Bombyx mori: one gene and its partners. The main gene of each other region encodes a partner of the protein of the gene in region 3 in a complex. Links are inferred from orthologs where the notes say so. Each region holds a gene or a part of one and is shown on either strand. Other genes may lie near its edges.

The links. Proteins that work in one complex are often made in the same cells at the same time.
Region 1: chromatin assembly factor 1 p55 subunit (region 3) and transcription factor Dp-1 share a complex: the UniProt entries of both Drosophila melanogaster proteins name them as parts of the DREAM complex. The link is inferred for Bombyx mori from reciprocal best matches to the Drosophila melanogaster genes Caf1-55 and Dp.
Region 2: chromatin assembly factor 1 p55 subunit (region 3) and histone-lysine N-methyltransferase E(z) share a complex: the UniProt entries of both Drosophila melanogaster proteins name them as parts of the polycomb repressive complex. The link is inferred for Bombyx mori from reciprocal best matches to the Drosophila melanogaster genes Caf1-55 and E(z).

The regions. Positions count from the first base shown.
Region 1 is NC_085110.1:8,925,391-8,929,571, reverse strand, and holds the start of transcription factor Dp-1, read right to left. Parts: upstream 2,801-4,181; 5' UTR 2,442-2,800; coding exon 2,393-2,441; intron 2,110-2,392; coding exon 1,982-2,109; intron 1,424-1,981; coding exon 1,372-1,423; intron 1-1,371. UniProt on the Drosophila melanogaster protein: Component of the DREAM complex, a multiprotein complex that can both act as a transcription activator or repressor depending on the context. In follicle cells, the complex plays a central role in the site-specific DNA replication at the chorion loci.
Region 2 is NC_085117.1:20,094,587-20,098,736, reverse strand, and holds the start of histone-lysine N-methyltransferase E(z), read left to right. Parts: upstream 1-1,350; 5' UTR 1,351-2,147; coding exon 2,148-2,222; intron 2,223-2,294; coding exon 2,295-2,478; intron 2,479-3,803; coding exon 3,804-4,019; intron 4,020-4,150. UniProt on the Drosophila melanogaster protein: Polycomb group (PcG) protein. Catalytic subunit of the Esc/E(z) complex, which methylates 'Lys-9' and 'Lys-27' of histone H3, leading to transcriptional repression of the affected target gene.
Region 3 is NC_085109.1:4,082,580-4,086,332, forward strand, and holds part of chromatin assembly factor 1 p55 subunit, read left to right. Parts: coding exon 1-158; intron 159-672; coding exon 673-790; intron 791-1,053; coding exon 1,054-1,184; intron 1,185-1,518; coding exon 1,519-1,696; intron 1,697-2,297; coding exon 2,298-2,390; 3' UTR 2,391-3,753. UniProt on the Drosophila melanogaster protein: Core histone-binding subunit that may target chromatin assembly factors, chromatin remodeling factors and histone deacetylases to their histone substrates in a manner that is regulated by nucleosomal DNA.

The DNA.
Region 1 (4,181 bases), on a different chromosome or scaffold from region 3:
AGTCGGAGTTCCCACCTGACTGCACACTGTGCAAAGTAGATCTCCGGCAGGGAACTATCACACCGGGGGATGTTCGGTGGTGTGGCACCCCCGTCGTTCAGTCGAGTTCGAGGCGAAGAGTCCCCTATAACCTCCATATACGCAAATTACCCTTCCCTATTCACGGTTACTGTATTCGCGGCATATTTTTATTATGCTTCAACCCCGCGAATAATAAACTTTTACTGTATAGAGACTAGTAAACGTGATCTTTGACTATTGCAAAACAGCCTTTAAGAACAAGGTTAGACAGTGGTGACAATAATTACAGACTCAACAGGAAAATCTCCACTGCGAAATCGGAATCGTAAGACACCTGATGAATTTATATCAAGTGATGTGGCTATGACAAGGTTCAAAACCTCCATTAATCATTTGGATCTTATTGTGTCTTAAGACATTGTGTAATATCTGTTAGTGGGAAGTATCTTAAGACCACTTGAGTAAATAGATATCACTATTTTGGCTATTTCTGCCACAAAGCAGTCGAGAGTTCTGGTTTGATGGGCCGGACAGCCCTTATATAAAACAATTGATATTACAACTTCAGATCTCTAAGAGGGGTGATACTTATTGATTTATATGTATGTTTATATTGTAGGCATAATTTCTCACCATAATTTTGAAATGTATAATGAAGTGAATTGATGGACTAATTCAAATTATATAAGTTTGTTCATAAATCAGCTTATCTAACATTAATTACCACCATCATGTGGATTATTTTAATATTGGATAGTCAATCAAGATGTTCTTTTTATAGTGTATGTATGTATTAAAAATTAGATTATGTTCCATAGCAGAAGTATTGATACTTGTAAACAGTGATACTAAAACACCCAGAACTAAGATTAATATAGTGTGCAAAATTTTAGTAACAAAATACTTCCTAAATTTGTATATATTTGACATTCATTACTACTTGCTCACTTTATTTTTATTAAATTTTTTTGGATGTAGATGTACCTAACAATTCGCAAAGCACTAAATTACATGTATGATTACATTGAGAAATGAGGTTGAAGTCTCAAATGTATGCAAGAAGCTAAATTATTTGCTATTACACCATGCCTATTTCTGCTGTGAAGCAGATGCATTTCACTTTGAAGGGTGGAGTATATGTTATTATACTGTAAAAACTGACATTTTAGAACTTGTGTCTCAAGGTTGACGGCGGCATTGACTGTTGATGTCTCCGGTAACCACTTAACACCGGGTGAGCCATGAGCTCATCCAGCCATCTAAGCAATAAAATATACAGTTATATATTAAATAGGATTCTTGGTTACTTTCTACTTTCTGTCAACAAACCCTGTCATGCTGAAAACTTACTTTGTTTGTATTGAACAATTCCAAATCTTGCAAAACTGGCTGGAACAGGTATCTGTTAAAGAGTATACTCATATAAAACTGAATGGTAAATGATAATCAAATTGCTAATTCTGGTTTGGTACCTATTGACCTATGTAAGATGTAAGTACTGAGACTTTAGAACTAGTCTCGTGGTGGATGGAGGCAATTACATTGTAGATGTCCATAAGCTCCAGTAACCATTTTAGACCAGGTGGATCATGAGCTCATCCACCTATCTAGTAATAAAAAAATACAAGAACTAGGGAGTCCTCATTAGTTGTAGAATATTTTTCAAATTCAAATCAAATTACAGTAGGGCATAAGGGCATAGGTAGGCTCAGTTCACCCAACTAAATCTAAATTATATTAGAACCCCAAAAGCTTAGGTTAACCACAGTGACAAAGGAAAGTAATTATTATTATATTTCATGTCATTTCGTTCGTTCTGTTTATTAAAAGTTTATTCAACATATACATTACTACTCTAACTAAAAGTTTAGTCTAATGAAGCGTAAATAAATAATGTTTATAATAATATATGTAAAACATATAGTGGTTTCATATATAAAAAAATTGCGAATAATCATACCTTTGCACATTTGACCGGAACAGGTGATACAGTAACAATTTTAACTGGACTCTCTTTCGGTTCTGCTTCGATTTGAGCAATCAGTGGTTTACTTGTAGTTTCCAGCACTTTCACCACTTGAGGAAGTCCTGCAGGACATATCATCGAGTCTTTATGTATTTATAATCTAAATTAAAGACTTACTGAAGCGTCGGTGCCATCAGCTGATTGAAACAAAAAATATCTCCGTAATAAACAAACGCTGTGATGATGTTTATTTCGGCAGAATAAAAGGCGTCGAAGATAATAACTAAAGCTAAGCTACTAGTCTTGAGTTTGGTCCAATTGATCTAGGCTTTGTTTGCAATACAAAGTCTTAAATCCGATAGGAAAAACAAGTGTCACGTAAACTAAAGTAGCACCTCTACTAACCGTTAGCATCATGGATAAGGTAATTTATTGTACTATTAGTTTGGGACATTTTCTCCACACTCCTTGAATTTGGACGTCCATTTATGTTTCATAAGAACAACGTAGGACAATTGTTGATGACGAAACAAATTAAATAATACCTACTCAATTCGTATGACCAAAATCACAGGTCAAAATGGCGACAAAAATATGGGTTAGAACCAAAACTATAGCCAATTTTTGAACCGATAAATGAACCTTTTACAGTTTAAAGTTTCTATTAATATATGTAACATTGATAAACTTTTAACATTTAATTAAAGTATATTAAATGCGCGAATCCAAGCACCATCACCAACGCAGCGCGGGACGAGAAGGAAACGATGCAAGAGGCGGGATTTTTGGATTTACCAGCTGATTGGATGAGGTAGTTCACGTGGTACTATTCAATAGTTGCTAGATGTGAAAAAAAAACAAAAAGGCGCCAATTCTCAATCGCCATTTTGTTTTTAGGTGTAGATGTACGCATTTAATGTCCTTGCCATCGCAAGAATTTAAAAATGTTTTCCGAAGTGCGCCATGCATGAGGTTAATTTAATTATTAAACTTCATGCATGGCCCCATGTCTTTCTTGTTCATAATAGTCTGTTCGGATTCAGTTTCTTCACGTTGTTACGTTATTTTTCTACAATGTTATGGTCACTTACTTTTTTTTTAGTGGTATAGTATCATTTCTGATATTTTTACGATTATGAAACAATATCACTACTCGTTCTTCCAGTATTTATTGTAGAACCTTGTGTATATATAAAAACTAAGCTACCATAAAAAAGCATTTATGAGATTACAATAATTTTTTTCCGGCCCTTGTTGGCAGACGAGCATACGGCCCACCTGATGGTGAGTGGATGGACTTCAGCAATGCCAGGGGCAGAGCCAAGCCGCTGCCTACCGCTTAATACTCTCCACAAGCCTCGTTTGAAGACGTACATGTCATAGCGCACGGGGAAACATCGTGGAGGGAAGCTCATTCCATAGCCGGATAGTGCGTAGCAAAAAAGACCTCTGGAAACGCACTGTGGATGACCGCAGTGGCTCCAGATAGTATCATCTCGAACAATTCCTCAGAGCACTCCTCATGGAATATACGGTACAAAATACAGAGGGAACCGAAGTCCCTCCGTAGACCCAGAGGTTCCAAACGATCCGTGAGAATGGGATTATCGACAATCCGAACGGCCATCCTCTGTATGGAGTCAAATGGCAGAAGCTGGTATTTTGGAGCCCCGGCCCAGAGATGGGAGCAGTACTTCACGCGAGGCCGGACTTGTGCTTTATAAAGCAAAAGCCTTTGTTCAGGCATGAAGTACCGCTTCGCTCTATTGAAGACTCCCAGCATTTTGGACGCCAACTTGGCTTTGCCTTCCAAATGACTCCGAAACTGGACATCGCTCGAAATGTTGACCCCAAGTATCCCGATACTCTCGGAAGATTGCAGGGATACTCCTTGGAATTGCGGCGCCATGACTATTTAATGTCTACAAATATGATTATAGGTTGAATCTCAATAGTCTGCGGGGATGTATTATTAAATAAACATCATCAACTCGATACTTCTTAAAAAACACTATCTCAAACTCACATACTCGTTTTTCCTAAAACCAACAGCTATCGAACCATAGCTCAAACTGTTATTGTAATAGATTGAGATACCGTTAGCCCCTTAGGTTGAATGCCCAATGCAGGTAATAAATATGAGACTATAAGAACTTTAGAGGTTGAGAAACATTAGTACATGTCGATTTGATCA
Region 2 (4,150 bases), on a different chromosome or scaffold from region 3:
TCTACCACCAGATCGAATTCGCAAACCACTAAAAAGACCGGTGGCGAGATACTCAGTGGCCTTCTGGTATTAAGAAAATCCAATAACAGATTATGACGGGATATTTAAAGTATGAATTATATATAACACGTACTTATTGTCGAGAACAAAACATAATGTTTGAAAGTAAAATGAAGACTAAAGTAAAATAATATTTTATTTCTTCTTCTTCTTCTTCTTTTTCTTCACCTTATCCCACTAAGTAGGGTCGGCACAGCTAATTTTTCTCTTCCATTCTCTTCTATCAGCCGTCAGCTCAACACTTACTCCTTTCACTCTCGTATTGTCATTCACACACTCCATCCATGTCTTCTTCGATCGGCTTCTTCCCCTCTACTAAAATAATATTTTATTTGGCTAAAAGAAACGTGTTATTAGCTTTTATTTATTTAAAAAAAAAACACTTTACGTCCGCAACTGATTAAGACGTACGTGTAAGATGTAATTATAGTAATGCTAATTTGATACAACAACAACTACAAGCATCCGAAAAATAAAAATAAAAGAAAGATAGCTAAATTGGAGCGGCACAGCATGTTAACTCTTTGTCCCCACCAACTACTTCTCGGAATTGGTTCATACAGGGACATTCACCGTATCTTCGATCAAAATTCGTCTGTGGTTTTAGTAGGAAAGGGGGGGATTGAAGTGGTGTGAATTGCTTTATTTTGTTAACTTAGTGTATCTTCACGCTTAAAACTGTTCAGTATCTGTAAAAGTGCAAAAATATACAAAAATTAAACAAAGGCACTGATCGTAGTTTCTCAGATTCTTCCAAAAAGTATTTTTTTTTTTTATTGCCTTTGTAGGCAGTCGGGCATACGGCCCACCTGATGGTGAGTGGTTACCGTCGCCCATGGACTTCAGCAATGCCAGGGGCAGAGCCAAGCCGCTGCCTACCGAAAAACCTATTGAATAAGTTACAGTAAATAACTACCATTTTATTGCGAACGAATTTTATCACATCTTATTTCGTTGGATTTCATTCAATCCCATTTAATTAAAGTCTCATAATAATCATGTTGTTGCAAATTTTTTTAACCTATGAATAAAATATAAGTATTCGCTTAACGATCTCGGTTACCAGGCCATAGTATCTTAAAAAAAGCCATTACAAAAGATTCTAAATAAATGAATTACCTAAACACTTCGATCAAAAATAGTGTTGATCGAAGCCTAAGCAAGTGTATATTTATGTTATCTATGGCCAATGGGTTTGACCTAAAGGTTTTAAATACCAGGTCATAAAATCGCAAAAAAATAAATATGTCTATGGGTATCAGCGTTGCCAAATGTACGGCAATTGCCGTTTCGTACGGCAATCATGCTTCTAAAAGACAAATTGTACGGCATACGGCAGAGTGGTCATTGCCGTATTCTAAAATACGGCAACAAGAGCATAAAGCTAAAAAAACAATTAATGTATCTAAAGTGATTACAGAACGTGAATACTTTTTGCGTAAACATAAGCGCATCCAACTCTTGTAATAGACAATGTTTTATGTTTGGTACGGGGAATTCCCTACAACCTACAACGCCTGCTCTTCGAGTCGTCTCCTCAAGTCGCCTCGCCGCCTCGCTCTTGTGTCATTGTTTGTACTAGCAAGTGTAGCTTCATTTTGACATTTGAAAAAGTGCAGTGTAGTGATACATGAGTTAATGTATAAAATGTGTATAAAAAGAATCTTCAGTGCAGTAAATCTAATCAAAACAAAACAAAGAAACCGCCTCTTAACATCTACCATAAATGGAACAATATTAGCAAATAGTACTGTACGAGCTTTAAGCCAACCCCCGAAATGATCAATAAATGAAAAAAAACCCATCAAATTACGGAAAAGATCAGATTATTGAAACTGAACTTACTTTAGGCAATAATACAGATTTGATGAGAAGAGAGGAGTGAAAAATATGTATTATTTTAATTTCATCCTAGAAATAAATAATAATAAACTTTGAATTACTTTGTACGGCAATTTTTGTTTAAATACGGTAGATTTTTTTCTCCAGTACGGCAACCCAATGTTGGCCCAGCGGCAACACTGATGGGTATAGCTCTAAGGTGTAAGTTTGTAAAATGTGAATAGCCGAATTAAAATATTTTGAAAATGAGTAAATCGAAAGTATCAGCTGAATGGAAGAAGAGAGTTAAGTCAGAGTACATGCGGCTTCGACAAGTAAAGGTAACTCAGAATGACAATATTGAAGTTTACGATATATGAATCTGGATATGAATGTAATGTAAATTTTTTTAGCGTTTCAAACGCGCTGATGAAGTGAAAGTAGCATGGGCGCGCAATTTGCAAATAATGTCCGAAGCTATAGAGATGCCTGAGGCGGAAACTACGGATCGTACTAAACGGCCCTTCTGGCCCCCGCCGGCGCCTACATCGAGCCATGAGAGCCTTATGAAGAGGGCCGAAGTTACCTATACAGACGGTAAATCTTAACTTTGCCCTTACTTAACCATGTAGTGTTCATTAAATGCAAATCCGCGCAAGTGGGTACCACCATGCTACCTCATGATGCGAAGCAGTCGTGTGTTCCGGTTTTAATGATTGGATCCTCGCTGTATTTTGTTTTATGGTGGGTAGCTTCATCGCGTCGTGGTTTCCTGTAGCCACCAAAGAAACAGTGATCCTCTTAGCTGTTAAAATTGTTTTGCATTTCTGAAATTTTAGGGTGGGCACCACAACTCCGTAATCCAATTTCAGAAGGAAAATAATTTAAAAGTCCCACAAGCAATTGCAACCCATAATTTGAAAAAATAATATCATTTGTATCTTACCTTACCTACAAGCAAGGGCGGATACAGCTTTGGCGCCAGGAGGGGGTCACATAGTCAAATTTAGATGCGTTCGTTCCCAAACGTTTGCCATTATACAAAGTTATTATATTATATTAAATTAATTAAATATTGAAGGTATGTAGTTACATAAAATCTGTATGGTGACAAAATATATATAAAAAAAATCATTATATTCAATTAGTGGTCCACCTAAGTCCTGGAACCAGCTCATGGGGTGGTCATGACCCCCATGACCCCCCCCCCCCTCTGGATCCGCCATTGCCTACAAGTCTTGTCTACATCAATTAAGATAGACTATATCGACTGCAAGCCTATTAATTGACTTTTCTATTATCAATTCTTATCAACTGCTGTCTTATTAATCACATTTTCTGTCAGCACTTATCAACCAATAGCCCATAAATTGGTTAGAGGCTATTAGCTTTTAACAGTTTCTGTCACTGGGATTAATTAAACTCCTAACCTCTTTGCATTTTTGAGTTTCAATAAAATGTGTGTGTGACTAGCCCTGTCTTGATTTAGTGGCAAGCTCAACCACAACAGGCCAATAGAGTGTTGAACTGCTAAATATGTTCCACTGTCCTGTACTGTAAACATAATGTTTTAGCCTTATCGCAGTAATGTACACCATATAAAAAACAAAAAAGTTCCAGAGTTGCTAAGTAGTTTTTTAAGAATTGCAAAATTTTGTTGCAGTGTTATCAGCAACAAAATTAACTATTCTATGCACTCAAAACATTTTTCTCTAATGAACTAAACTTAATAACAAAAAAGTTTCTAATTCCCATTTACTTTGACGTACAACCCAAAATACTCAACCCTTCTGAACTGCTGATTCCATATGGTGTTCCTTTTCGGTTTTTTTTTCATGAAAGACATAGACTTAGTTTTTCATATTGAGAGCAAAACAGTTTAGAGGACTTCCTACTACTTACTGAATTAAAATATTTTGCAGGTTCAGGTGTAGTGACAACCCAACAGGTACCAATAAGAATAATCAACTCTGTGAATCCAATTCCGACGATGTATACATGGGCTCCAACACAGAAAAATTTTATGGTAGAAGATGAGACTGTTCTGCACAACATTCCATACATGGGAGACGAGGTCCTGGATCAGGATGGTACATTCATCGAGGAGCTAATAAAGAACTACGACGGGAAAGTGCATGGTACATCGGCTTTCATGTCATTACTATAAATGTGGACTGGGCCAGTTTTGTTGAAAAATGATCTTTGTTTCTTACAAATAGTGAAAAAGATGTCTTCCTTGAAAAACAAACCTTAATAATATTCTCTTTAG
Region 3 (3,753 bases):
GACATCAACGCGACGCCAAAGGAGGGGCGGGTCATCGAAGCGAAGTCCGTGTTCACCGGCCACACGGCCGTCGTCGAGGACGTCGCGTGGCACTTGCTACACGAGTCGCTCTTCGGATCCGTGGCTGACGACCAGAAACTGATGATATGGGACACCAGGTAACACCAACAACTAACTTTTTGAGGTTCTTTTTTATTGCCCCTTGTAGGCAGACGAGCATACGGCCCACCTGATGGTGAGTGGTTACTGTCGCTCACGAACGTCGGCAACGCGTGGGGCAGAGCCCAGCCACAGCCTACCATTTGAAAAGTTACAATTGTAAATATAAAACATTATAAATGAGACAAGATCAAGACATACTGATTATGTAATTGTGAATTGTACAATACTTATTAACTAAGAGACCTATTTAAGACAATCATGATAATAAAATCATTAGTTTGAATATGAAAGTGCTTTTCCTATCATGGCATGATAACACAAACAGGAGGTTGTTTTCACATATTTCTGCAGATAACTTGTATTTGGTATTGACCTTCATTACTTGTTAATAATTACCTTTAATTATTTTTTTATGATATAATGACACATTTCGTTTAAGTGTAATAATGAGGTATGCATATATGGTAGTAATAATTAGTAAAATAGAGCACAATTATGTTGTAATTACAGATGTAATAATACATCGAAACCATCTCACACAGTGGACGCACACACCGCTGAAGTTAACTGCCTCAGTTTCAATCCCTATTCAGAGTTCATTCTTGCTACTGGCAGTGCGGATAAAACGGTAATGTTACTAATTTTAATTCAAATATACACATCTAACAAGTCAAAACTTCCATAGCGTTTTGCTTATTATTTAATTGTAATATTTATATATCAATTTTTTGTAATTTAACGAAACTTGTGTTCACAAGCTTTGAATTCAATCAGCTCATGATACACTGAAAAATGAAACTACAGTTTTAATATCATAATAAACTAAATAATAAATAGCCTATCCTTAATAATAGGTTAACTACTATAACTATAAATATAATTTCCGTCTAGGTTGCGCTTTGGGATCTACGCAATTTGAAATTAAAGCTACACTCGTTCGAGTCGCACAAAGACGAAATATTCCAAGTACAATGGTCGCCACACAACGAAACTATTCTCGCGAGCAGTGGTACCGACCGAAGGTAAAATTACAGATAATTGAATTTTCAAACTTTTTGTTACATCTTGTGTACAGACAAGAACTCTCAAAATAATAGTATTAAACGGTAGGTAAAATAAAATCAACACCCATAAAAAAAACAGATATGGAATTGAAGTTGCAAAGTAAATATAAAAGCTCAGACTTCTTGTGGGCTTACAGCCACTTTTTGGGCTGATTTTAAAAATCGTAAACATGTACATCTAATTTTTACGCTTTAAATTTGGGAAAATGCACAATACTCAAGAACTGGGTTTGCTGATTGCTGTACGAGACAATAATTATTATGAAAGTTACTTCATTACTTGTTTTTTTAGACTCCATGTATGGGACTTGTCAAAGATTGGCGAGGAACAGACAGCTGAAGATGCAGAAGATGGACCCCCAGAATTATTGTTCATACATGGAGGACACACCGCTAAGATATCTGACTTCTCATGGAACCCTAATGAACCATGGGTCATCTGTTCCGTCTCTGAGGATAACATTATGCAGGTATGCTAAAATTATAGGTTGAATGTTTTTAGCTTAGATAGGCACCTTTTGGGAGAAAGCTGTCAGAAAACATTAATATTATAGTTGATCTTAATGCATAAAATATAATTGCTTTGCTAAAATATAATTTCTCCCTAGCACATAATTATTTATTGGTGTTAGAACTTCTTGTGAGTACACGTGGGTAGGCACCACCACCCTGCCTATTTCTGCCGTGAAGCAGTAATGCGTTTCGGTTTGAAGGGTGGGACAGCCGTTGTAACTATACTGAGACCTTAGAACTTGTATCTTAAAGTGGGTGACGCATTTACTTTGTAGAGCTCGTCCACATATATATGCCATAAAAAAAAAAAAAAAAACTACAAATCTAGGCTATTTGATAAATATTTCGGCACATCATCTCGGATCCTTCTAACAGTGCTTTTAGGTACCCCAAGCACCGGTCATCGTTCTTGTCGAACCCGTCGCTTGCGACTCACTGAGTTTCTCGCCGGATCTTTTCAGTCGCGGTTCAGACTTGGTGGTAGCTTCTTAGAATAGGTAGAAAAAAAATATATATTTGGTATTTGTTGTACATTGATTCGGTGCGGTATCTGTACAGGTGTGGCAGATGGCTGAGAACATCTACAACGACGAGGAGCCGGAGACGCCGGCGTCGGAGTTAGAGTCGGCCGTCAACGTCAACCACGGCTAGTCGTCCTGTCTGTACGACTCATGTGCTCTGTGGAGAGTGTGAAATAACAACATTGTTTAACATTCACTTTTTAATCGTTAATCTGTGAGATAACTCTGCTACAACCGAACAATAATGGGGTACAAGTTTTCGGAACTGTTCTTAGTTCTATAGAATTTTTATCATGTAAACGTTATACAAAACACTAAAATCTTGTTGGAAAAAATGACATTTATTAAAATGCTTTGTAAATATCATTATGAAATTTAACTAACTAATGATCTGCTATTCTAGCTAATTATCTGAGTTTTTTCGAAATATTACAAACAGCATTTTTTACTTCTAATTGAAATTACCACAAAATTTTATATTTTCAATATTTAAATGCAAAAAGTTGTCCCGTTTTTCATACTTTTCAAACTATTTGACAGTAAACAGTATATTAAACATACAAGTATAGATGTAGTGAGAAACTATTTTCCTTCGGGAAAACTCTTGATCTTTATCGGAATACGATGACACCCGAACTGTCAATGAATGATCGTATTAAATGAGTGACATTTTCATATCCATTAATAAGGAACTTTATTGTTTAGTCTCAAATGTCAAAATGACATTGTATAATATAGAGATGCTGCAACCATAACAATTATTACTTAAAACAGGATATTTACTAGGGTATTATACGAAATGAATTCCCGATATTTTTAAGTAATAATTGTTATGTTCGGGATGTGTGGACATAAGTTTCGTCAGTATTATACACAATATCTGCCTTCAGATCTATACTTCCTTATTAAGTCTACGTACTTTACTCTTTTAAGTCTAACGTCATCTTTTCCATCAGCATTTTCCTATTATTAGCAATTTTCTTCAATAAAAAACCCAGTAGTGTAAAATCACATTCTTTGAAATTCATCGTTTCTATTTATTTGGGCTTTAGTGCTTTTATTGTAGGGACTTGTTTATAAATGAGATGAAAGCTATAAACCATTCGTCGTATCACTGCATAATCAAAATCATCAAGATCTAGATAGATTTTCATGCATGGTCTACCCATCTTAATTTTGTTTGTGTTGGTATTTTTATTATTTCTGTATTCTTCCTCCTGGTTCAAAATATTCTTATTGTTGGTCTAGTTGCGTTTGAAATTCGCTGTTGAACTTTGTCAAAATACTCTTGAGTTGTTGCTGTTTTTGAATTTGCTATTTTCCGATATGAAGTACAGGTAAAACTTAAATAAAACTTTTCCGAAAAATTACGAAGTAAAATCTTTTCTCATTATATCTATAAAGTGAATCGTTACATAGCATACAAATAGGTACATAGGCTAAATATAACTTTAACATTAGCAATTGTTCTAATATTTTGGGCAATTGGTGTC